Linked DNA regions of Mus musculus. The protein of the gene in region 1 purifies or fractionates together with the protein of each later gene. This does not show direct contact. Links are inferred from orthologs where the notes say so. Each region holds a gene or a part of one and is shown on either strand. Other genes may lie near its edges.

Region 1 (3,983 bases):
ATGAGTGGGTTCCGCAGCACCACGATGACCGAGTCCCCGCGCAGGAACATCTTGGAGATGTAGCGGTCCTTGTTGACAGGCTTGGATTTCTTCTTGCCCTTGCCGCTCTTGGGAACCTCAGTCCACATCTCCTTCACATTTTCCAGCACCATGTTGCAGTGCCTGATGGGGTAGGGGTGGGGGGGGAAGCTGGAGTAAGGGGGGGCATTCCGAGTGCCCACCTTTGCCTGGCACTGTGTGAACTCTCCAGCAGCAGGCATAAGGAAAGCCCAGGCTCCACAGTGGGGATGGGCAGGCTGCAAAGTGATTTCACTTTATAGTGTCCCTTCTGTGCCTCAGTTTCCCCCTTCATGAAATGGAGACAGTCTATTTCATAGGGCTGGTGTGAAGATTGGATGAATAAAGAACTCAGGACCCAGCAGAGTAAAGCCCACCAAAATGGCCCTGGCTCTGGCGTTAACTCTAACTCTGAGAGAAACAGCAGGAGAGAAGCACTTGCTCCCTCCAGAGGGTCTTAGGGTGCTGGGGTTAGACACGGCTCCCAACACGCGCACTCCAGTGCTGCACAGTCCTGTCCTCATGGGGCCGGGTGGCCATTGTTCACACTTGGATCAGTTCTTTCCACAAATGCTTGCTTGAGGACAGTGAATAAGAGCAAAGTACAGTGCCAGATGTGTATGGCTAAGTCACAAGGCAAGTCCCATGCTAACTAAAACAATAAAGCAGGACGGCATGCTTCATGCAATCCTGTAATCCCAGCGCTCGGGAGATGGGAGCAGGAGGATTAGAAGTGTAAGGTTAGCCTCTGCCACATCTGTAGCCAGTTCGAGCTACATAGTAAAGACCCTGTCTCAAAACAAACTACAAAGCAATACAAGATATTTGACACTGATGTCTGGTCTACAGATAAACAAATCAAATATCGAAATTCCAGTCCAATTTCCTGCCAGGGGATTCTGATAACTACTAGACATGTCCATAGCATACAGACTCATATGCAGACAAAACACCTAAACACGTAAGATATGTATTATAAAAAGGTTAAGCATCGCCACTTTCTACATTTTTGAGCTAGGTCGTGCCATGAGACACTGGCTGGCCTCCAACTCATAGTGATTCCCCGAGTGCTGAGATTAAAGGTGCTTTGTCACCGTGTGTGCCCACCTTATTATCCTTCTGGAATGACCTTTCCTTCAGGCCCCTCGGACCCAGACCCAGCCCTCCCCAAGACAGCACTCACCTGTCAAAGGCCTTCACCCGGCCCAGCAGCTTCTTGTTGTTGCGACAGTTAATGAGCACTTGCGTGTTGTTCTTGACCGACTGCGTGAGCACTGAGAGGGGACCTGTGTTGAATTCCTCCTCCTCCCGCTTCTGCAGCTCCTCTGGGGTCATCTCACTCTTGGGTTTATTGAGGAGACTCCTGGATAGAGAACCCAGGGGTGAGATGGGTTCAAGTTGGAAATGTACGTGATCAAAGCCACACTGTCCAGTGTCTCCCCAGCCCCCTTTCTGGTGCAGTCTTTTCTGGAGGCAGGAGAGACATTTCCATGGTAGCCTGCCCCGGCTCATCTACCTAACCTCTTCCACCCACCGCTGACCTTGAATTCTCAATTCTCCTGACTCCACTGCCTAAGGTCTGAGATGACAGAGGCTCACCATCATGCCTGGCAGTTGATTCTTCTTTCAAACCTTACTCTATCCTTATATCTTGTCATCTGCCACCATGGTACATCCAAACCTTGGCCCTTTCTATCCGCAACCTAAACTTCAATCATCTCTCTCCATGAACCTCCGCCCCACCCCACAACATCTCACTGTAGAAGCCTGGCTGCCCCAGAACTCAGACTTGTCTCTGCCTCCTGAGTATTGGGAGTACAGGCACGTGCCACTATGTCTAGTTTGTGTGTGGTTAAGGACCAAACCCAGTACCCACAGTAGGTAAGTACTCTGTCCACTGAGCTAAATCTGCATCCCAAGAACTGGGCTTTCAATGCATCCTACTGTGCTACCTACTGGCATTATATCTTTCCTGCTCAATTCTCCATCCAAACCTGATTATCTAAGGTGTATGTACCTATTTATTACTCTATGGCTTTCCTACTCCACTCTTTTTACAAGCACCAGGGAGATTCCCCCACCCCCTTGGAGGCAAGGACCTTTTATTTACCATGTGTCTTAACTTACAAGCAGTCTACATAGTATATGCTCAATGAATAAACACGCACCAAACCACTGTAGTACCCTGCTACTCTGACAGTCTCTAGTTAGGTTCTCTAATTTATCCTGGTTACGTCCCATACTTTTCACTATTTCTAACAGTTCTTCCTTCCCCGCCAAGCTCTTTATTCATAAGACCACTTCCATTTAAAATTACTATTACTTTTGGAAGCGGTCTCGCTATGAAGCTGGCCAAGGCCAACTAGCGAACCTCCTGCATCAGCCTCTCGAGGCCTGGGATTCCAGGCATGTGCCATCAGACTCAGCTTTCCCTTTATGGTTCCTTTCCACAAGACTCAGGACCTCGGAGAGTCTCATGCCCGTTATGGAATAAAGCTGTCCCCTCTCCGGAACTCAAGATCCGAGCGAGGCCCCAAGCCCGATCTCAAATACCCCAGAAGGAAAAACATTACTTTTGCCCGAGGAACTCTACCCTCAGCTATAAAAACACCCCATTTCGACCGTTATTCAGCTAAACTGTCCACCTCCATCTCCACGGCCCCGCCAAAGCCCAGCCCGGCCTCACATGGTGTAGGTTTCGCTCGCAGATCACTCCCGCCTCCAAGCGCGTTGCTCCAGCCTTTGGCGTACAGGGCGAGAAGGGCGGGACTTCCGTCTCCTGCGGCTCACTTCCGTCGGCGCCTGCGCAACCAAATACCAGCGGCTGTGGGCGTGGCCTGTTACCATAGCGACCCTTCAGGCTGCACTCTCCTGTAGAAAATGCCTATAAGGAGGATTTGAAGCTTCTGAGGATCACAATAGGGTGTCTGCTCATGAGGAAAATAATACGGGGTCTGACTAGAATTATTTTCCCGTCAAACCGTCCAGTTGGAAGATGGAAAACACAACCCCATTTCCAAATACCCTCGGACACTTTTCTTGAGGGCATGGCTTCAGGTAAACCAATCGGCTCCTTGTTTTAGGGATGGATGCCGCCCCTTTTTTCCTTGAACGACAGTTTCTTGATCGACTTCCGTGAGGGGCGTGACCCCGCGCCTTGGAAGGTTTCGCACATTCGGACGCAGCCCATTGACTGGTCCTCTTCCGTGGAGGCGGGCCTTAAGGTTTCCGCCCTCCTTTTTGGGTGGGGCGGCGCTTAGGACAGCCAATCGCAATCGTCTCAGGGAAGGACGCAGTTACTCTGCTTCTTTATTGGGTTTTGTAACCTCAGCGAGGCGGATCTTGGCCTAAAACTCAAACCACCATACCGGGATTGGTTTCAGAGCAAAGCTACCATGAGTCCCGGGAGCCGCGGGCGGCCCCGGCAGCGGCTCGAGGATCGTGGCCTCATGAAACCACCCTCACTTTCCAAGCGCCGTCTTCTGCCGCGAGTGCAGTTCCTGCCCCTGCTGCTGCTGGCGCTGGCTATGGGCTTGGCTTTCTATATCGTCTGGAACAGCTGGCACCCTGGGGTTGAGGAGATGTCACGGAGCCGGGATCTGCGGGTGAGCCCTGGCTGGTGCCCAGCCAGCGTCATTTCCCTCTTTCCCTTCGTATTGAGTCTCAGGTTACCGTGGTCTTATCATTTGGCTTTTGCCGCCTGTGCCATTTATCCATGACTTGAGCGCGTGCCCCTACCCAACAAAATAAGGCTTCAGGCTTGTTTTGTGATAGACCCCACTGAAGATGACGAGTCCTCATAGCAACACTGGTAGAACTGAGTTCTATGCCCAAGCCATCTATTTAGAAATTTCCATCACCCGATTGCAATTTCCTCGTTAGGACTGCGGTAGGCTGGACCAGATTTGCTTTGAAGATTTCTCCCA
Region 2 (3,305 bases), on another chromosome or scaffold:
AAGCAAGAATCCTAACTCCCAGTCTTAAAGTTTTAAAGAAATATACCAACCAGTTAGTTAATTCTGTTCTGTGCAAATATGAGTGCTAAAATCTAAAGTCAGTATTTTTCAAAGTATAATTTAGGCTATCAATTTGAAAATCAAAAATCAATTTTAAATGGCAACATTACAAAGTCTAACAATAAATACTTAAAGAAAAAATGTTCTTTCCAACTCTTTTTTAAGATTTGTGAGTCTGCAATGCTTGTAGCTATGTGTCTGACAGTGAATGTTCTTCCTAGCTCTTTATGAATCTTGTTTTTAAGATCTGCGGGTCTGTGTGCTTGTCTCTGTGTCTGTGTATACAGGTGAATGTGCCTATGCACACTGAGGCCAGGAGAGACATTAGATCCCCAGGGGCAAGAATACTACTTGGCTTGTCACGTGGGTGCTGAGATCCAAATTCCTGTGCACACGATTGCACAGGAAAGGCTTTTAACACTGAATCCCTTCAATAGCCCACTTATCTGGGTTTGAAATGTGATCCAGAGTTAAGCTAGCAGACCATTAAGAAACAGTCTTCCTGGGCTGGCGAGATGGCTCAGTGGTTAAGAGTGCCGACTGTTCTTCCGAAGGTCCCGAGTTCAAATCCCAGCAACCACATGGTGGCTCACAACCATCCATAATGAGATTTGACTCCCTCTTCTGGAGTGTCTGAAGACAACTTACATATAATACATAAATAAATCTTTAAAAAAAAAAGAAACAGTCTTCCTAATACTGAGCATGTTCCAGCTAACAAGTGAAAAATTACACTACAGCATATAAAACAAAGGAGCTCACTGACCAAAAATTCCTTTAAATCTTTTCTATTAATCCAGCAATTAACAAACTCTGTGGATGAACATTAAGTCGATTCATGGGTGGGAGGTATAGCTCAGTAGGAGAGCACTTACACATATATATAAAAGGTCAAGTCTGATGGTAGGGGAGCAGAGACGATAGATCAAAACTCAGCTAGTCTTAGCATGTTTGCTTTCTATGCAGCCTATAACGACCTAAAATGTAGCATATGCAAATATGGCCTTAAGCCCATGATCTTCCTGCCTCTGTCTCTAGAGGACATGCAACACCATACCTTGTTTAATTTTTAAGCATTTTAATAATGACTTGATTATATTGAACAAAATATATCTCAAGACAATGAAGATAGAGTTTATTTTGTAGTATTAAGTTCTTTGCAAGTATAACTCAGAGATTTTAATTAAAAATTTAAGTATTTCTGATCACTGATTTTCTAAATTATTACTATACACCAAGTTACTCCTTCAAAACAAAACATACACAAAAAAAAGAAAAAAAAAAAAAAACAGGAGATTGACATCACACTCTTGAGACAATTTGAGAAGTGATATTTTTCTCTCATGACATGGAAGGCTTCAAAGCAATACATTAAACAAAAACAGAGTGCTGAACTTGCCTGAAATGCATTCAGTAGGAAAACCTTTAGAAGAAAGGATATCAGCCAAATGTTGAGCTCTACAAAAAAAGAAAAAGATTTACAACCTTCAACTACTGCCCCATGCCCTAGTCTTTAGGTTTTTTAAGTTCCCTAGATTAAGTTCTATTACCTGCTGTGCAAATTAGAAAACACCAAGGCTTGATTAAATGGGACTTTACTAAAAAGTTCCTGTAAGTGCTGAGTCTTTTCCTCAAAAATCTTATGAGCCAAAGGGTAAGAATTGACAACTTGGTAGTACTGCTTCAAACCTATAAAGAAGTCAAGAGTCCCAGTTAAAACAAACAAGTGTGGTAAATTCCAATAGCAACTATGACATGGAAATAGCCAATCAGACGAGGGAAAGCCCCAGGACATCACAAACTAATAATGTAAAATCTATACACACCTATGAGACTTGGATCGCTGGGATTCAATCTTACAAAAGTGGGATCTCTCATATACCTTGTCAAAGCATTAGCCAAAACTTCAGGGTAAGTAGCAGATACTGCCAACATCTGCTTACTCGCAGGTAAAGAGGAGTAAATCCAACTGTAAAATACAGGAAAGCACACACCATGAACACACACCATGCAGACAGCACACACTACCGGGAAAGCTATAGAGAAATGCTTTGGTGCAACATTTTTGTATTCAGGCTAGTTTTCTTACTTTATTTGCTCCTGGAAACTGCCTTCTTCTAAAAGCTTATCTGCTTCATCAAGAATAAAGAGACGGATACTGCCCGGATTCAGGTAGTCAAGTTCTATGAGCTGTTTAATTCTACCTGTATGGCAGGAAAACAACAAAACCTGAAATACTTATGACATATCAAATCTGTACAAACCTCAGGAATGCTTTACAGTATTTATCCACAGGTTAGACTGCTTAATTTCCTTACAGTGTACCGTTACATACCACCTAACGGTCTAAGTAATCTTAAAGTCTGAATCCATTCTTTGTCCCCTCCCTTTTCATCACCAGTAACTTTGGTAAACAAACATTACTGCTAATAAACAAACATTACTGCTACCAAAATACTTGAATGCTAGCTGGGCGTGATGGCACACGCCTTTAATCCCAGCACTCCTGAGGCAGAGGCAGGTGGATTTCTGAGTTCAAGGCCAGCCTGGTCTACAGAGTGAGTTCCAGGACAGCCAGGGCTATACAGAGAAACCTTGTCTCGAAAACAAAAACAAAAACAAAACTTGAATGCTATGGCACTGAATCCTAGGTTCTGATTCTGAGTGATTTGTGAGCAAATAACCAGAGAGAACAAAAGAAACCTCAATCCACGGCTTAAACAGGCTTCCTAAAGTCACTTCAGGTCTCAGAAGCTGATCCCATGGGTATTCTCCAACACTCTTCAGAATGGAGAGGAACAGATTCTGTTGAAAACCCAGCCATGTGTCTCTCTGGTCTAATACTCTTCCATTTATGCTGAAAGCAATTATCACCACCATCAAAACTCCCATTTGATTGGCATGCTCACTGTTCTAGTCTTCAAGAACTTCAGCTACCAAGAGGTCTTAATGACTTACCAGGAGATCCAACAGCAATATGACACTTTTTAAGTCTGGTTTTGTCTTGTGATAATGGAGTCCCTCCAATAAAGACATGACATTCTAATCCTTCCATTTTTATTCCAATGGCTGTGATAACCGAGTGTATCTGAACAGCAATTTCTCTTGTGGGAGCCAATATCAAAATCTAAAATAAATTGCAAAACATTCTAACAAGTCAGAGGAATACATTTGAGTGGTACATCCATTTGTTGCAATACACTACATTTTAAGAGATGAGTTTTAAGACAAGAGAAAAATTCAGC
Region 3 (3,500 bases), on another chromosome or scaffold:
TCTATCTCTTGTGTATCACACGCCCATCAATTCTGACTACTCTTACATTGATGAATGGCCAGCTATGCCAAAAAGCATCCTTTATCCCAGGATCCAGCACTGGGAATACAACACAGTGCTAGCTACCCACCAGGTCAAGAGCAAGTTCTAGACAGCGCAGGAGTCAAAAAAAGGTTCTAAGTAGACTGTGGGATGGGGAGTTTGTCCAATACCTGAATCCCACAGGCTGCCACACAGTTCAGATGGTATCTTTACCAACTTTATATTGGCTTCTGGGCATCAGAACGATATAAATTCAACCAAAAGGAAGCAAGGAGAAGGTGGGGGAAAGCCTGAGCAAAGAACCATGCCTAATAAAGGTCGCTCACTTTTTAAATGAAGACTTCTCTGACAGCCTAGAATTTGGCTCAAGGCTCATTAATTGCCTCTATGATCAGCCTCACAGCCAGTACCTGCCCAACTAATCAAGGAGAATGAAGAACTGACAGTCATGTGAAAGCCACCTGATGCCAAAATGCTACAAGAGATTAAACAGAGCACGCTGGGTCAAATATGTGCCCATAATTTCTGCCATACTTTGTAAACTTTTAAGTGTACTTTTCCTATAACTATTCTGAAATAGGGAGAAAATACAGAAGTTGTTTTTGTTCCAGATCAATAAAGACACTAAGGAGTAATAGCAAAATGAGAATTGATCAGCTCAGACTAGTCACCAACTGGAACAGACAGCTATACAATTTCCTGAGCCTAAGGATGCACAACTAATTATTGCACACAGAATGAAAAAACGTGCCTGGCTTCTTCCAACTGCTTTTCTCTTGCTTTCCTTTTAGCCTTCTTTCCTTGAGTATTGGCCAGACGGGCTCGAGCCTCGGAGAGCATCTCAAGTTCATCTGCAAAATAAAGACAAAAAAAAAAAAGTAAGCTCCTCTCTGACATCAGCAGTCAGGCAAATCCTAGGGCTCACAATGACAAAAGCATCCATGCACTAACTACTGTACAGGGCACAGAAAACCTGGAGTCAGAGCAAGTCAGGTTACAAGTCATCCCATCACTAACTTACTAGTTTGTAAGCCTGGTCCCACATTTATCTCTGCGAACGTTTCCCATTAAAATCAGAGTAAGAATGTCTACTTCAGAGATGCTAAGAAAAATGACGTATCTCAAGCAAGCAGCAAGTATTCACTCACAGAAAGCTCTACTACAGGAACATCCGAATCACCAACACAGCAGCAGCAGAGAAAGAAAGCAACAACTCATCCCGGGGAACAGACAACCTTCAAAGACATTCCTTCCCTCAAAACTGTCTCTTCTCTAAGACATTTCTACAGCTCTCCCGAATAGAACAACAACATAAGTGTCATAATGATGGACAAGACTTAGATTTCACTCAGATCACAGTCCTCTCTCTTCCCTCAGTAAGAATTACCAACTTAGTATCTCCAGGGGAGGACCTGGTGCCTGTAACTTTAAAAGTTCCCCAAGTGGAAAGGATGTAGAAAGCATCTTCACAGACTAGTCACTCTTGGGAACCGCTGCATTCAAACTTTAAATCTGAAAAAAACTACCAAGTACCCACAAAAAGGTAAAGTAGATTTTATTCTCCACCCTCAGCAGGGAAAACTCAAGGTCAGAAAGCATATATGACTTAGCTAAGGTCAAATAGCTAATAAATAGCAGAGATGGAGCCAAAGCCCAATCCCCAACTCTTGACTCCATGTGTCACAGACTCACTGGGAGCCTCCAGCACAGCTCTTGTAGCACAGCTCTTTCCTGGAAAGGAAATCACCCTAAAGTCAAAGAAACAGCAAGGCCCGACATGCTAGCTTGTCGCCTCTCCTTCTACAAAGGGAATGAGACAGGATCCTTCGAGGCTCACGCCTCTAGGACATCTGCCTACTTCACTGCTCGATTCATTAAATGAAATGAAGAAGCAGAAAATAAGGGGCATCCTCAAAAAAACAGTCTAATAAAAACAGGACCAGACACACTCGGGGAGATGGAATAACCACTGACAGACACACTCGGGGAGACGCCTCCTCGAATAACCACTGACAGAACTGGGTCTCTAACAGTCAGGACAGGAGAACCAAGAAGGCCTGAGTCCTGTACAGTGAGCTGAGCACTCCCCAGCATCCACTCACCCTCATCCATGTCTATCGGGTCAGGCCGGGCTGGCTTGGTCTCTGGGTTTGGATCTATCTCTCCAGGCTTAAGCTTTCGGGGGTCATCTGTTGTTTCTTCTTCATTGTCCCTTTGGGCAGTTTTGTCCCTTGAAGGGAAAAAAAAAATCACAGATGAGTTAGTCCCGTATCACACCATTTAGTATGAGAATTACCGAAGTTCTAGCTCTGGCACTCTCTCCTTCCCAAAATAAACAACAGATGAGCACTATGGAAAACAGCATCTTTACAATTGCTTCCCGTGAATAAAACGGCATTAAAATTCTCTAATTTCGGTATTTCCACGCATGGTGAAACCCAATGACAAGCAGCCCTTCCTCACAAATGCAGAACATCCAGACAAACACACTGCTGGAACAGAACAAGAAGGTCCTAATAAACTCTCAGCAGCCCAGGCGATGGGGCCTCGTGCACAAACACACACACTCACACACTCTCTCTCTCTCTCTGCCCCCTAAGATGAGTGTGACTTGCACACTTCTAAAGGAGAGGCAGAAGACATAATTTTATTCAACCATGTGACATCTGGAATACAGAATTCGGGGACTTTAGTTTCTATGGCTTTAGTCACAAGCTGGAAATGCTCTAAGTTTGTTCAGCACATTAACAAATGCACAGTTTTCACTCACAGGAGGAACTCATAGTGTTCCAAGCACTGGGCTGCTGTTCTTCCTATGATCGGAGCAATGGTCCTCCACTGCGTTGGCATCAGCTTGGCCAGGTGCAAGAGTTTTTCTTCCTCTTCTCTGGACCATTCAGTTTTTTTAATACTTGGATCCAGCCATTCGTACCTATTAAAGGCAACATCGCAAACGTTAGTCAATTACCATGTTCTGACTCTAAGATCACATGCTCTCACCCCTCAATCACCAATACTATCTCTGACAAGAGAATTCATTGTGAAGTTAAACTTACTCTTCTTCCCCTCTTCACATTACAATGTATTTTAAGTACGTAAGATTGGTAATACTTAAAAACCTAATAGACTGAAGTGCAAAATGCAATCATGTGACTTCTTTAACTAGTATTTATTTGTTTAATCTTTTTTTGTTGTCATTTGGTTTGGTTTTTGTTGGTAACTGTGTTGTTTTCTTTTGGGTTTTTTTTTTTGGGGGGGGGGGTGGTGGTGAGGCAGGGTTTCTCTGTGTAGCCCTGGCTGTCCTGGAACTCCACCTGTAGACCAGGCTGGCCTTGAACTCAGAAATCCACCTGTAGACCAGGCTGGCCTTGAACTCAGAAATCCACCTGTAGACCAGGCTGGCCTGGTACTCAGAGATCTGCCTGCCTCCGCCTTCCATGCTGGGATCAAAGGCGTAC
Region 4 (4,119 bases), about 47 Mb from region 1:
ATCCTAGCACTCAGAAGGCAAAGGGAGGCAGATCTCTGAGTTTGAGGCCAGCCTGGTCTACAGAGTGAGTTCCAGGACAGCCAGGGCTCACAGAGAAACCCCACTCATACAAACAAATATGATCTTAATTTCACAGAATTATATTGTAGAAACCAACTACAAAAACCAAAACCAGCATAGTGGATGAGGTATAGGTACTCAGTGAAAAGTAACTTTATTTCATAAAAAGATTTTTACTGTGACAGGGTCTCACTATGTAGCCCTGGCTGGAATTTGCTGTCAACAAGGCTGTCCTTGAACTCAGAGATCAGCCTGCCTCAGACTCCAGAGTGTTAGGATTAAAGGCAGATACCACTACACATGGCCTTTATAAATCTTTTTAATTATGATGCTATTGATGACTACTCTAAAATCTGATTTGTTGACATAGCACAATGCTTCAAATTCAAAGTTTAATGTCAGTTACGAATATTAAAGATTTCTGAAGAGTAGCAAGTAAGGTCAGGCCAATGCCCAAGTTAATCTCCAACCTCTTAGGAAAAGGGCTCTATTCATTTCTCCCTTTAAGACACATGGGCAGGCTGGAGTGGTGGCTCAGCAACTTAGAGCCCTGGCTGATCTTCCAGAGGACCCAGATTCTATTCCTACAGCTGGAGCAGCTCAGGACTATCTGTAAACCTAGCTCCAGAGAAGCCAAGGCCCTCCTCTGGCCTCCAGAGGCACTAGGAGGGTGTGTGGTACCTGCAAGCAAAAAACTAATATACATTAAAACAAAACAAAACAACAACCAAAACCCCATTATCTTCAGGGTACATTAGAACACTTACTTAAGGGAAGAAAGTATTCTCACTAGCAGTCACTCACCAAATTCTGTTGTTGTTCACTAATAATGTTTTCAGTCTTCTCAACAAAGGGAAACCGTCCAGTTTCCGGATCTCATTGTCAGAAAAATCAATAGCATCAAACTGGTCTAAGGTGGCACCCAGATTCTCAATAACCGGAATTTTATATCCTGTAGAGGGAAAACATACATACAACAAATATTAATATAAATGAAAAGTCCTGAAAATCGCAGGAGTATGTGATGGAATTTGACTCAGCGCTCCCATTCGGGAAGTATTAACCAGGCACTAGCACCATGCCGTGCACTGAACAAAAATAAGGTAAATGACGAAAGGGTTAAGTGGAGGCCTTAGTGCTACAAAGCTTGAAGTAAAACTGAAGAGGCTGAAGGCAAGAGGAAGAACAGATGGGCATATTTACTAGTATTGGTGCCCATGGTTTATTAAGAACGTCTATGAGGTATTCACATTCGTCACTGAGCTAGGTACTATAAGGAAGGACACAACCCAGCTGTGAAGGAGTGCAATAAAAGATATGGTAGCAGAATAAGCATTCTCCAGACTGCACGGTTTTCAGAGAGACAGCAGACATCAAAACTGTGCCAAGACAGTGAAAGGACCCAGATGCTCCTGAACCGGACTTTTCTCCAAGAAAGTTAATTTCATTCAACAAACACAAAGAACACTAGGATTTCCCATAGGCAGGAAGAAACTTTCAAAAATGGCAGTGCACAGCGCCCCCGAGACTTTGATTGCCTCTGGTCACAGTCTTATAATCTTAACCCCTTCCAAAGCCATCTCCTGAATAGTTAACGATTACCTCTCAGTTCTATGTTTTAAAAATCAAGTGCTACTTCTGTCAGAACTGAACAGGTGAGTTCCGCCACCCCACACACAGAAGTGACCATTATGCCACGGTCAAACAGCTCAATCTTGAAAACACCAAATTATCCGGGGCTGCGGGTCTGGCTCAGTAGCGCGAGTGCTTTCCTGACAGACATGAAACCCTGGGCTCATCCAAAGCACCATATAAACGTGGTGCAGGCATTTAAACCCAGCTCCCAGGAAGTGGAGGCAAGAGGGTCCGAAGTTCGAGATAAACCTTAACTATATAACGGTTTGAAGTCAGCTCGGAATACACGAGACGTTGTCTCAAAAACAAATGAACAAAACCAAACCGGAATTATTGGGGCAATTAAGGTAACTCTGGTACATATCCACCCTACCCTCAGGTGCCACATTAACGCTTTTGCTAAAAAACAAACAAACAAACAAACAAACAAACAAACAAAAAACACCAGCCAGCAGCCGGCCTGTCCGTAGCGTTTTCTATTTTCCTAGTCCTCCAACAGTTAAAGCTGCTCGATGAGCGGGGCAATGCCTAGTGAGTACGGTCCGGGGAAGGAATCGAGGCGCCGTGTTTGCTAGCCGGAACGCCGGTAACAAACAGCCCCAAAGGGCCCTGCGGGACGGTGGATCGGAGGCGCCCAGCCCGGGTGGAGGCCCACGGGCCAGGCTCCAGCCTCTGCGCACGCGGCGGGGCTGGTTTCCCGCAGCCACGCGCCGGGGCCGGAACACAGCCCGCGCTCCGTCTAACTCACCCCGGAGGTCCAGTTCACGGTCCCGTACGGCATTTGTGTACTGCGCCGCCTGCTCGATCAGCTCCGCCGTCAGCTTCACCATCCTGTCGCAGCCCGCGGACCCTCACCTCCGACACCAGCCTGCGCCTCCCGCCAGTGCCGTGTCCCACAGTGCACCGCGCCTCGCCGCCAGACAGCACCAATCGTATCCCCGCGCAGCTCGACCGCCAGGCTAAAGCAATCGAAGACGTAGCCCCCGTGTCTTTGCTTCTGGGTTCTGGGCTTGAGCGTGCCTGGGAGTGTGGGGAGCCCAGATTCCAGTTTTTTTAATCCAAAAGATAAGAACACGCGAGGGATGCTCTGTCTCACGTCAGTGAACCTCAAGGGAGGGGTAGTTGGGACTACTCTCCCTTCTCCACCCAACAAGGGGCGGAGACTGTGAAGTCTCCTGAAAGTCAAGTTCCTAAATGTCTAACTTGGGCTTCCGCAGGTAAGGGGCAGGACCCGTAGGCTGGATTGCCTTAAAACAGAACCCTTCTGACCTGGTACAGTCACCTTAAAGCTTGAGGGTGAACTTGTAGCCTGTAGACATTTAGGTGTTCATACCAAAGCGCTGGTCAGGTGGCTTAGAGGTTAAGAGCACTTGCAACTTTTGTAACGGACTTGAGTTGGCATTCCAATATCCGTCTGGACACCTGACAACTGCTTGTAACTTCAGCCTCAGGGGATTTGCCGTCCATTTCTAGCCTCCTCAGACACCGGCAACCGCAAACACACACACACACACACAAATAAAATAAACCATAAGTGATATTCATATTGACTAGCTGTGATGGAGAATGCCTTTAATCCTAGCAGTTTGGAGACAGAAGGAGGTGGATCTCGGAGATAGAGGCCATCCTCGCCTACAGAGCCAGTTCCAGAACAACCAGGGATACACAGAGAAACTCTATCTCAAGCAAACAAACAACACCAAAAAAATTCATACGAAGTGCAGGGGAATACACATATCAGAAATTGCCATGTGATGAGTGCCCCACAGTGAATACAATATACCTGCAGAGCCTTGGCCTCTGTCTCCAAAGGCTTAAATGCACAAAATCATGTGCATATTTTTTTAAATCATAGCTTACTAATTAATGTACATGCCCACCTGTGTATACGTGATGACCCCTTCAGCCCTAGGCCATCAACTCCAACTGAGGCTGCACCTTCACTAGTGACCATCCCTGGCCTCTCACAGTGCCAAGCCTTAAATGCACGAAATCATATGCGTATTTTTTTTAAATCATAGCTTACTAATTAATGTACATGCCCACCTGTGTATAGGTGCAGGGGAGGCTTCAGCCTAAAATTCCCTGGAGCTGGCCGTTGTGATCCTTTGGACATGTGTGCTAGAAGTCAACCCCTGGTCCTCAGCATGAGCAGAAAACACTCTTAAAAATACTTTTAGAAATTATTTGTTATATCTCTGTGGTTTTGGGCACATGAGTGCAGATACCCACAAAGGCCAGAGGTGCCAGATACTCTGAAGTCGGGGTTACACGTGGTTGCTGGGATCTGAACTCTGGTCCTCTGAAAGAGCTGTACACACTCTCTTACCTGCTGAGTCATGGAATGACTGACCTGAGAAGGAACTTGAACAGCTCACTCTCCTGCCTCCATCTTCATGTGCTAGGATTATTGGAGTGAGTTTA
Region 5 (2,405 bases), on another chromosome or scaffold:
CACAAGGAATGAATTCTAAATCTTCATAAAGATGAATAAAAAATGATATCCCTCCAGTATAGTGTGTATAAGCACTGTCCTTGGTCACTACTGCCATTTACTGTTTAACATCAAAAAAACAAAAGTTATTTAAAAATCATGCTACTGGATTTCTATCCCTCCACTATGACCAGCTCTACACTGATCGGCAATGTTTTACAAGTTTATATCATCAGATTGAAGCAGGTTTAAGGTGTGAAACAGCTGTATTAGACACAAAGTTACAAGATATAGTCAAGTTCGTAACGAATATAGGTGTTCTTATCGTCATTGTAGATTCGTGGGTAATGTGCTATGAGAGCATCCTGGGAGCCAATGTAGATGGAGTTGTAAATTTTCCAATATACGTCTCTGACTTTCCGAGCTGGGTGGAACAGACCCTAGAATAAATAAAAGGTAGAGTTACTTCTATCTTCAAGGGGAAAATAAATAAATAAACAAACTTTAATACACTATTAGCTATAAATATGATGCATGGTGGCACACACATTTAAATCCTAGCACTTAGAAACAGAAGCAAGTGGATCTATCTACTTCAATGCTGGCCTGGTCTACATAGTAAGTTCCAGGCCAGCCAAGGCTCAAAAAATAAAATAAAACAAAAGTACTTACTTTGAAGAGGGAAGGAAAAAAAGTCTGGAAACTGAGTAACAAAATTGTGGTGGGTAAATACAAAATCTAACCTAATTTAATCTAATCTGTATCTCAATACAGAACTGTCTTCCACATGGTAATTAGGGAATGACTGACTTCAACATATTTAAGTAATTTTTTGAGCAATCCCCGCATTTAATAAAAAAAAAGTAAAAACCCACATTTAACCTACCTGTAAGCAATACTGCAACATTCTGCATGGTCCAATAGCAACCCTCAGGCCCTCCAGAGCTCCCATAACTGCCTGGATTACATGGGGAGATGTCTCAAACACATTAGGCCACACATAGTTCAGTAAGTGATTCAGAGAATCCTCACAGCCAAATCCGTAAACACCAAGTGACATGTGCTGCACCACTGCACTCGCTGTCTGTCTGTGAACAAGGTCCCTGTAATAATGGAAGGGAAAAGTCTCTTTAAATCAGTCCCATTTTTATATTCACTTGTACATGCGGAACTAATTACTCTCAGGAGTCAATCTCATTTTAAATTCTGTAACCTTAAATATTTGATAGTTAAGTCACAAGTCAAAATGAAATTTGTTCTCAAACTGGTATGATTTCATTCAAAAATTCAATTTAAGAGAAAAATCTACTAGGTTTTTAAACCTGCACAAATAAGAATTTTTATCTCTAGCAGCATCTGAATTTGTATCCAGGACATATCAATCTATTATTCATATACTGAGTGCAACCAAAATAGTGTTCATACTTTCTGCCAAAATATTAACAACCCCTCAAAGGCATTAGGAAAAAAATCTGAACACTATAATTTGCTATCTAACTTATTTAATGATAAAGTTTCAATGTTTCACAGCTGAAGAAGTATTCTTTTTAGTAATTTTCAAGTTACTACCTCAACTTGCACACTTTCTAAAAATTTCTTTAGAATTGAAAACAATCTCTAAAGCACAGTATTTTTAAAATAAATATAGAAGCAACAAATATTATGAACTTCAAAATTTTATGAACTTCAAAATATTATGAACTTGAAAACCTTTCTAAAACAGTTGAGATCTCAATAAAGAATGAATAGAAAATTATTCTGGTGATTAAATTTACATGAAAATTACAAAAAGATTTGACAGGAGTCTAAATTTTCTATAAATAAATTTGATATATTAACTGAGTATATGAGATTCAAATATATTTTGCAGTATAATATTCAAGAACCTTTTTTTTCTTATGAATAACAGCCCCCACAACAGAAAGTTTGCCAAATTTTCAATTCTACTATCACTTTTATTTGTAGTCAGTATGTGAAGAGACAAGTCATGTTTTCTTTTCACAAAATTCCATCCATTCAGAACAAAACTTTTAACCTCAAGTCCCACCTCTCAACAGTTGTAATGTTCAGGAATTCCTCACTAAGAAGCAGTCTAAGGGAGAAGCAAGGTGATTTACTGCTATTTTGTTTGGTCCCAGAAAGGTAGCCTTTTCAGACTGACTCCATAACTTACATCTGCACTTCCTAGTACCTCACTAAATCTGTTTATAAAATGACCTTTATGAAGGTCCCTGAGTAACTGGCTATACCAGGGACTGAATCTATATATGGGCTTCTTGCATGACAGAAATGTGCTTTACCACTGAATTACAACCCCCCACCTAACTCTCAAAATGTTGTTGTGAGACAGGGCAGGTGCACAGGTTGGCGTGGAAAGTTTCAATCCCCCAGCATCAGCTTCCACAGTAGTTGAGATTACAGGCTAC
Region 6 (3,500 bases), on another chromosome or scaffold:
CGACACTGGGCTCTCCAGGATGGCCTGCTTCAGTTCATAGAACACCGCTGAGTCCTCCTTGGTGAGGAAGGTGATGGCTACGCCACTCTTGCCCGCTCTTCCTGTGCGGCCAATTCTGTGAATGTAATCTGGGGAACAGAGGATGTCACTCGGGACCAAGCCAGTCGTCTGGTCTACAGAGACCTCCACCCCACTCCACTCCACAGGCAAGCCACCCACCTCCTGCTGTCTACACCCGGTAAAGCCAGAGTGCTCGCGACTCTGCCCATCCTCCACCCCACTGCCGACTTGTCGCATACAACACTAAGGCTCTCCTAGCCAGCACCACTCTCCACACCATCAAGGGTCAGCCTTGACACTGGGATGTCACTCCAGACTAAAGCAGAGGCTCCCAGTGCACCCTGACTCTGAGAGAGAATATAAGCAGTCTCTCCTAACCCTCTCAGCAACTCACCTTCAATATTTTTGGCCATATCATAGTTGACAACCATAGACACATCTTGGATATCAATACCACGGCCAGCCACATCTGTAGCCACCAAAATATCCTTGGCTCCAGCCTTGAGGTTGGACAATGCAAATTCTCGCTGCTCCTGGCCTTTGCCGCCATGCAGTGTACAGGCGTTATACTGTAGGTAGAAGGCAATGGGCTCAGGGAGAGGAGTGGGACCAGGGAGGTCCAAGAGCAGAAGGTGGGAGAGAGCAGATGGCAGGAGAGGGCACAGGAAGCCAGAGAAGGGGTTCAGTGAAGTGAGGAAAGAACATGGGAGCTAGAGCAAGAAATGAAAGACAACACGGCGTTCTGGGGGTAGGGGGGGGCAGGTAGAACAGAGACAGAGGCCCAGTGTGCTGAGATGAAGAGCCAAGCAGGTGGGGAGGTAACGGGCTAGGGGGTAAGGATGGCAGGAGCTGAGTAGAGAGGACAGTCCCTTTCCCTCGTTAGCAGTACAGGCCTGGTCATCGGCACCCCTCCCCTCTCCATCCTCATGGTGCTCATCTGAGCACAGACCCGCTGTCTACAGTCTCACACTCTGCCATGCCAGGACCTGCCTCCCCGGCCCCACCCCTGTTAGACAGAGAACGGCATCTGGCTGCTGTGGCGGGACTAGAAGGGATTTCTAGTAACTGATCAGTTCTCACTCCTTTCTCTTGGCCCTGGCTTGTTAGATGGTGTAAAGATTAAACAGTGAGTGGAGCCGACACTCCCCACTCCATTCCTAGTTTCAGAGAGCAGCAGCACCAGGGCTGGCTTTGCTCTGCCTGCCAGACGTACCCCCATCTTCTCCAGAGACTTGGCCAACACATCACAACCCTTCTTCTGGTTGACAAAAATGATGATAGGCGGATCAAAACCTTGTTCCAAGATGGCCAGCAGCTTCTTCCTGGGGGTGGGGGAGGAGAATGAGGTACACAATACCCTCCAGACTCAGTAAGCCCAACACTCAACCCCAGCAATGAATGAACTCCAAAGTCAACAGAGACCTTACAAGAAAGGAAACAGTAAAGCACCCACCCGACAGCCGCCCCACAAAGGGAAGTGTCAGACAAAAGCACCCAGGTTTCCCCGCTCAGCCTCCCCCATACCTCTTTTCTGATTCCGACATGAGGAAGACCTTCTGTTCCACCCGCTCATGGGGCTTGCCTGCAGAGCCAATGTACACCACAGCAGGTCGCCGAAGATAGCTCCTGGCTAGACGCTCCACCGCTGGGGGCATAGTAGCCGTGAACATGACTGTCTATAAAACAGGAGGTTCAGCCCTGGACCCAGGCAGACTGTCAGCACAAGCAGCCCAACTCAGGTTAAAACCATGAGTCCTGCTATAACTCTCACACTGTCACCCTGGAAACTGTTCTTTGCCTTTTCGTCTCTTGCTAGGAAGGACTGGGAGCGTTTGCTACCACCTGTGATCCAGGTAGCATCTTGATTCCTGACATCAGCATCACCATTATTATTATTGTCTTTTCAAAATAGAGTTTCTCTGTGTAGCCCTGGCTGTCCTGGAACTCACTCTGTAGACCAGACTGGCCTCAAATTCACAGAGATCCACCTGCCTCTGCCTCCCGAGTGCTGGGATTAAAGGCGTGCACCACCACGCCCGGCTTTTTTTTTTTTCATACATGAGCGCTCTCTGTACACCTACACATCAGAGCCCTTTCTAGATGCCACCAAGTGGGTGCTGGGAACTGAACTCTGGAAGGGCAACCAGTGCTCCTCACTCCTGAGCTGGCTCACCAGCCCCTCAGTCCTTACTGTTGTTTACTTTTTTGAGACAGGATCTTGCTACATAGATCTGACTGGCCTGGAGCTCACGTATCAGACAAGCTAGCTCAGTCCCCATATTCCACCTCCCCCTGAATGCTGGGGCTTTGGCAGGAACCACTATGCCTGGCACTTTTTCCTTCCTTGGCAGTAGCATGATTCTCTAGAATCAGCTTTTTAGGCTAAGCTACATGGCTCTACCCCTCGGCAGTCAGAGGACTGTACACAGGCACGGCTAGCATGCTGGAGGCATGTGCACTGGGCCCTCCCTGGGCAAGGAAGGTCTGCAAACAAGACTTGGGAACTGGTTCAGCTTCTCCCAAGAAAGCCGCCTTACTTGACGGTATTTATGTTTTCCTGATTCAAAGTTGGCCAACATCTTCTCCGGGTCCTCAGCCTCATCTGTGTCCGGCTTCTGGTTGCTGACAGGCATGTGTTCCAGGATCTTCTGCACATCTGGCTCAAAGCCCATGTCAATCATCCTATCCGCCTCATCCAGAACCACGTAGGTGCAGCGGCTCAGCACCAGGTACCGGTTCTCCAGCACATCGATCAGGCGCCCCGGGGTGGCGATCACAATCTGGAGGACACAGTGTGATCACAGATGGCCTTAGCAGACAACGCCCATCTTTTTCCCCTCTGTTGTGAACTATCTACCCATCTAGGCAACAGACCCTCAATGCTAAGGAGCTTGGACCTCAACCTCCAGCCAGATTTGGTACTTAAGGTCCCAGAGATCGGACATGAAACCACCTGGTACCTTCTGTTTCCCTCAGGAGTGAATGGGGTTTCTAAATAAGAGCGAGGGTTAGACAGGTGGGGGAATTAGGAGGAACTAGCTTAGATGGAAAAAAGGCTAGGGAGCACTGTGGAAGGAGAGAGGCTAGGGAGCACTGTGGGAGGAGAGAGGCTAGGGAGCACTGTGGGAGGAAAGAGGCTAGGGAGCACTGTGGGAGGAGAGAGGCTAGGGAGCACTGTGGGAGGAGAGAGGCTAGGGAGCACTGTGGGAGGAGAGAGGCTAGGGAGCAGTGTGGGAGGAGAGAGGCTAGGGAGCACTGTGGGAGGAGAGAGGCTAGGGAGCACTGTGGGAGGAGAGAGGCTAGGGAGCACTGTGGGAGGAGAGAGGCTAGGGAACAATGTGGGAGGAGAGAGGCTAGGGAGCACTGTGGGAGGAGAGAGGCTAGGGAGCACTGTGGGAGGAGAGAGGCTAGGGAGCACTGTGGAAGGAGAGAGGCAGAGA
Region 7 (3,500 bases), on another chromosome or scaffold:
TGGGCATGGCATGATACATACCTGTAATCTTGGTGCTAGAAAGGACTATTGGAAGGTAGAGACTAGCCTTGTAACACAGTGGGCCCTGTTTTAATGACAGGAAATGGAGGCTGGAGAAGTGGCTCAGAAGTTAAGGCCGCTTTCTGCTCCTACATAGGACCTAAGTTTGGCTCCCAGCACCCATGTCAGGCAACTCACAACTTACAGAATCTGAATACACATGCATGTACACATGCCTACACAGAGTCAATTTTCCTTTCCTTTCCTTTCCTTTCCTTTCCTTTCCTTTCCTTTCCTTTCCTTTCCTTTCCTAGAAAAGGAAAACGAAGTGGATTGCAGCCAGTCATGGCACATACCTTCAAGTCCCATAATGTATGAGGCAGAGGCAGGTAGATGTCTGTGAGTTCAAGGCCACTCTGGTCTTGTGAGTTTTATATCAATCAAAGCTAAAAACAAAAAATAAATGAGTTGGTTGTGTAGCTTAGTGATAGAGTGAGTGTGTGTTTCCATGTATAGAATATGATTTCTATTTCTAGTAGTGTAAAAATCTCACCATGTTTCCAGATGGGTTTTTTTATCCGTGGTGATCATTTTTGTAGGGATTCTAAAATCTGAAGTTGAAATGACTCCATGGATAATGTTTGCAATACAAGCATTAGGACTTGAGCTTGGGTCTCCAGCAACTGCAGAAAAGCTTGGGGGAGGGGGGGTGCTTGGGGGAGGGAGGTGCGCGAGTGCGCCTGTGTGTGTGTGTGTCTGTCTGTCTGTCTGTCCCCAGCCCTGATGAGTAAAGGTAGGCCACTCCTTGGAGCTTGCTGGTTGGCCAGCCTGCCTAACCGTGCCATAATGGTGAGTTCCAGGTTCAGTGTAAGACCCTGTATCAAAGACTAAGAATGAAAATGATACAGGAGGCCTCTGGTCTCCATGTGAGCATAAACACATGCGTTTTCCCCCCGCCCCCTCAGAAACTGCAAATAAATTCAGATCTTGCTTTTGCATGTTTTACAGTTAAGGGGCAGGTCAGAATCTTGGTCTGAGAGAGCTGGTATTTAGATCTCTCCTCTGCTAGGCCACATACTCAGGAGGCAGGCGGTGGGTATCTGCAGTCAAGTCTGACTTTGTAAAAGGAGCTTTTTCTCTGTCGAGTCTTCCCATTCCTGCATTTTCCTTTCAGAAAGCTAGATTGGAAATTACCTTCAAAAAGCCCTGCCAGCTGGGCTGAGTTAGAGTCAGGCTCTTCTGCTGAAATCTGTCTCTTGTGTTAGAGGATCTAATTCTAAAATTAACAGTAAGCCAACTTAGAGCACTGGAATTTCTTGGAATAAGAACATCTGCCTTCCCTGATGTGTTGAGACCATGGCTTAGGAGGCAGTACTGCAAGAGACAAGCAGACCTCCAGGCATGGGACCTGATCTGGCAGGACCCAGAGCTGTATCCATCCTGCTTGTGTATGGTTTGCATTACATAGGGAGGTAGGAAATGCTTCTTTCCACAGCATGAGGTTCTAATTGGCCTAGTGCACAGTCAGATTGAGACCTCATGTATTAGTCACGCTACAGGGCGGGACCAGAACTTGCTAGAGGCCAAGGCTTCCACAGTCTCTGCCTCTGGATCTGTGGTGATGGCTAATCTTAACCTTAAAGTTGCCTGCATCTTGTCTGCTGCTCTGTTTAATTGACAGAACCATGGGTGTGAAAGTCTGGAGAAAGCATAGCCTATCTGTCACTAGTCCCTGGAACCTTGGCTTGGTATATTTGGGGCACCTCTGAATGCAGGCTTCTGGCCAGAGAATCAGGGGAAGCCCCCAGGGTATCTCCTGATAGGCCAGTCATCTCCAGTGTTGGTGGAACTGCCCCTTCTAAGCTACACAGTGGTAGCTGCCCTCTGTGTTTGCAGACCATTGTATTCAAAAAGTCTTGAGCATCTCCTTAAATACTACTTAAGTAAATGTTTTCAGTATTTGAAGATACAGAGGAAAAGTGGTATTAGCCACATTTGACATATGGGAAAAAGTAGTGAACAAGAAACTTGAAGGTATCTTGTGTCTTTTTAAGACTTATGTGCCTTTTAGCAAGTGTGATACTCGGAGCTAGGTTTGGTGGCACACTTAACTGCACCTAGAAGTAAAGGTAGGCAAGTCCTGGCAGGGCCAGTCCTTAGCCTGGACTTGGGAGACTGTATCTCAACAAATAAGAGAAAAAAACTATGGTTCTTGAGTTATATCCACTGAGACCCTAAATATCAGGATTCTCCAAACATTTTCATTATCCTGGAGTACGGCATTTCTTTAGTGTGGGTATACACCCGTATGTGTGCATGACATGGACACACACATACACATGGATCAGACAGAGTATAACTTGATGAGAGTCAGTTCGCCCACCCTTTTACCAACTGGAACCAGAACTCAGAGTGTCCATCATGTCAGCAAGGACCTTTACGCACTCAGCCACCACACTGTAGCCTTATCCAGGATATATACAGAAGATAGAAATCTTGCAGAGCAGTTTTTCCTTCGTGAACCTCCCAGTCATAAATGAAGTTACTTTAGGCAGTACTTGGGCAAGACATTAATACTTACTAGCTGTTCAAGGTTTTTATCCTTTTTGTTTTTATGGAGCTTGGTACCCAATCCAGGGCCTTTTCGACCTTAGATACGTACTCTACAGTTATGCTGCATTCTTAGCCAAAGAATAAGTGTTTTATTACAAGAACTAAGCAGTTGCTCAGCTGATTGTGGGTATCAGAAGTGGCAGGGGAGCTAAGGAACGGCTGTGGTGGAAGCAGCCAGGCCCACACTGTCTGGTGGCACCGACTGATTCCTTGATGCTCAAAAAACAAACAGCTTCCTCAGTGCTCCAGGGCAGCTCTCCTATCCTTAGGCATGGACTGCTTGGTGAGTGGGTGGTGGCACAGATGGTGAAATAGAAGGAGATTTGGGTCTGAGTGGTCACAGAGGTTGTAGAATTCTTTTTTTTTTTTTTTTTGGCTTTTCGAGACAGGGTTTCTCTGTGTAGCCCTGGCCGTCCTGGAACTCACTCTGTAGACCAGGCTGGCCTTGAACTCAGAAATCCTGCTGCCTCTGCCTCCCAAGTGAATTCATTCTTTGGTATGTTGTTTATCTTATTTTAATTTTTTACAGAAATGGGCCTGAATTTGAAGCTAGGATTCGACAGAATGAGATCAACAACCCCAAGTTCAATTTCTTAAATCCCAATGACCCTTACCATGCCTACTACCGCCACAAGGTCAGCGAGTTCAAGGAGGGGAAGGCTCAGGAGCCCTCAGCTGCCATCCCCAAGGTTATGCAGCAGCAGCAGCAAGCTACGCAACAGCAGCTGCCCCAGAAGGTTTGCAGTCCAGCCTCTCTTTGTGGGTTAGTGGGCGGGCATAATTATCTCTGCTGTGCACGATCACAACCACCATGGGCAGAAATAAAGTTACCATCAGCTTCTAGAAGCTTCTGCACACTGGTTGTGAAGCTCTGTCCTCCAGGCTGA

What was found.
Region 2: the proteins of Snrpd2 (region 1) and Ddx20 purify together in Homo sapiens (affinity purification with mass spectrometry; 3 studies listed by BioGRID and IntAct, with this or other methods). This does not show direct contact. The link is inferred for Mus musculus from reciprocal best matches to the Homo sapiens genes SNRPD2 and DDX20.
Region 3: the proteins of Snrpd2 (region 1) and Cdc5l fractionate together in Homo sapiens (co-fractionation; 3 studies listed by BioGRID, with this or other methods). This does not show direct contact. The link is inferred for Mus musculus from reciprocal best matches to the Homo sapiens genes SNRPD2 and CDC5L.
Region 4: the proteins of Snrpd2 (region 1) and Snrpa1 purify together in Homo sapiens (affinity purification with mass spectrometry; 5 studies listed by BioGRID and IntAct, counting the BioPlex papers as one, with this or other methods). This does not show direct contact. The link is inferred for Mus musculus from reciprocal best matches to the Homo sapiens genes SNRPD2 and SNRPA1.
Region 5: the proteins of Snrpd2 (region 1) and Sf3b1 fractionate together in Homo sapiens (co-fractionation; 5 studies listed by BioGRID and IntAct, with this or other methods). This does not show direct contact. The link is inferred for Mus musculus from reciprocal best matches to the Homo sapiens genes SNRPD2 and SF3B1.
Region 6: the proteins of Snrpd2 (region 1) and Ddx23 purify together in Homo sapiens (affinity purification with mass spectrometry; 3 studies listed by BioGRID and IntAct, counting the BioPlex papers as one, with this or other methods). This does not show direct contact. The link is inferred for Mus musculus from reciprocal best matches to the Homo sapiens genes SNRPD2 and DDX23.
Region 7: the proteins of Snrpd2 (region 1) and Sf3a1 fractionate together in Homo sapiens (co-fractionation; 3 studies listed by BioGRID and IntAct, with this or other methods). This does not show direct contact. The link is inferred for Mus musculus from reciprocal best matches to the Homo sapiens genes SNRPD2 and SF3A1.

The regions. Positions count from the first base shown.
Region 1 is NC_000073.6:19,148,655-19,152,637, reverse strand, and holds the start of Snrpd2 (small nuclear ribonucleoprotein Sm D2), read right to left. Parts: upstream 2,801-3,983; 5' UTR 2,746-2,800; coding exon 2,744-2,745; intron 1,421-2,743; coding exon 1,241-1,420; intron 163-1,240; coding exon 1-162. Other genes in the region: Qpctl (glutaminyl-peptide cyclotransferase-like protein), read left to right, coding at 3,453-3,662. UniProt on the Homo sapiens protein: Plays a role in pre-mRNA splicing as a core component of the spliceosomal U1, U2, U4 and U5 small nuclear ribonucleoproteins (snRNPs), the building blocks of the spliceosome.
Region 2 is NC_000069.6:105,681,267-105,684,571, forward strand, and holds part of Ddx20 (probable ATP-dependent RNA helicase DDX20), read right to left. Parts: intron 3,188-3,305; coding exon 3,019-3,187; intron 2,265-3,018; coding exon 2,150-2,264; intron 2,030-2,149; coding exon 1,887-2,029; intron 1,750-1,886; coding exon 1,611-1,749; intron 1,519-1,610; coding exon 1,460-1,518; intron 1-1,459.
Region 3 is NC_000083.6:45,423,708-45,427,207, forward strand, and holds part of Cdc5l (cell division cycle 5-like protein), read right to left. Parts: intron 2,975-3,500; coding exon 2,813-2,974; intron 2,273-2,812; coding exon 2,145-2,272; intron 894-2,144; coding exon 794-893; intron 1-793.
Region 4 is NC_000073.6:66,059,017-66,063,135, reverse strand, and holds the start of Snrpa1 (U2 small nuclear ribonucleoprotein A'), read right to left. Parts: upstream 2,801-4,119; 5' UTR 2,526-2,800; coding exon 2,444-2,525; intron 1,013-2,443; coding exon 865-1,012; intron 1-864. UniProt on the Homo sapiens protein: Involved in pre-mRNA splicing as component of the spliceosome. Associated with sn-RNP U2, where it contributes to the binding of stem loop IV of U2 snRNA.
Region 5 is NC_000067.6:54,987,074-54,989,478, forward strand, and holds part of Sf3b1 (splicing factor 3B subunit 1), read right to left. Parts: intron 1,083-2,405; coding exon 866-1,082; intron 420-865; coding exon 261-419; 3' UTR 1-260. UniProt on the Homo sapiens protein: Component of the 17S U2 SnRNP complex of the spliceosome, a large ribonucleoprotein complex that removes introns from transcribed pre-mRNAs.
Region 6 is NC_000081.6:98,645,890-98,649,389, forward strand, and holds part of Ddx23 (probable ATP-dependent RNA helicase DDX23), read right to left. Parts: intron 2,841-3,500; coding exon 2,598-2,840; intron 1,737-2,597; coding exon 1,585-1,736; intron 1,383-1,584; coding exon 1,274-1,382; intron 630-1,273; coding exon 455-629; intron 129-454; coding exon 1-128. UniProt on the Homo sapiens protein: Involved in pre-mRNA splicing and its phosphorylated form (by SRPK2) is required for spliceosomal B complex formation.
Region 7 is NC_000077.6:4,163,354-4,166,853, forward strand, and holds part of Sf3a1 (splicing factor 3A subunit 1), read left to right. Parts: intron 1-3,142; coding exon 3,143-3,350; intron 3,351-3,500. UniProt on the Homo sapiens protein: Component of the 17S U2 SnRNP complex of the spliceosome, a large ribonucleoprotein complex that removes introns from transcribed pre-mRNAs.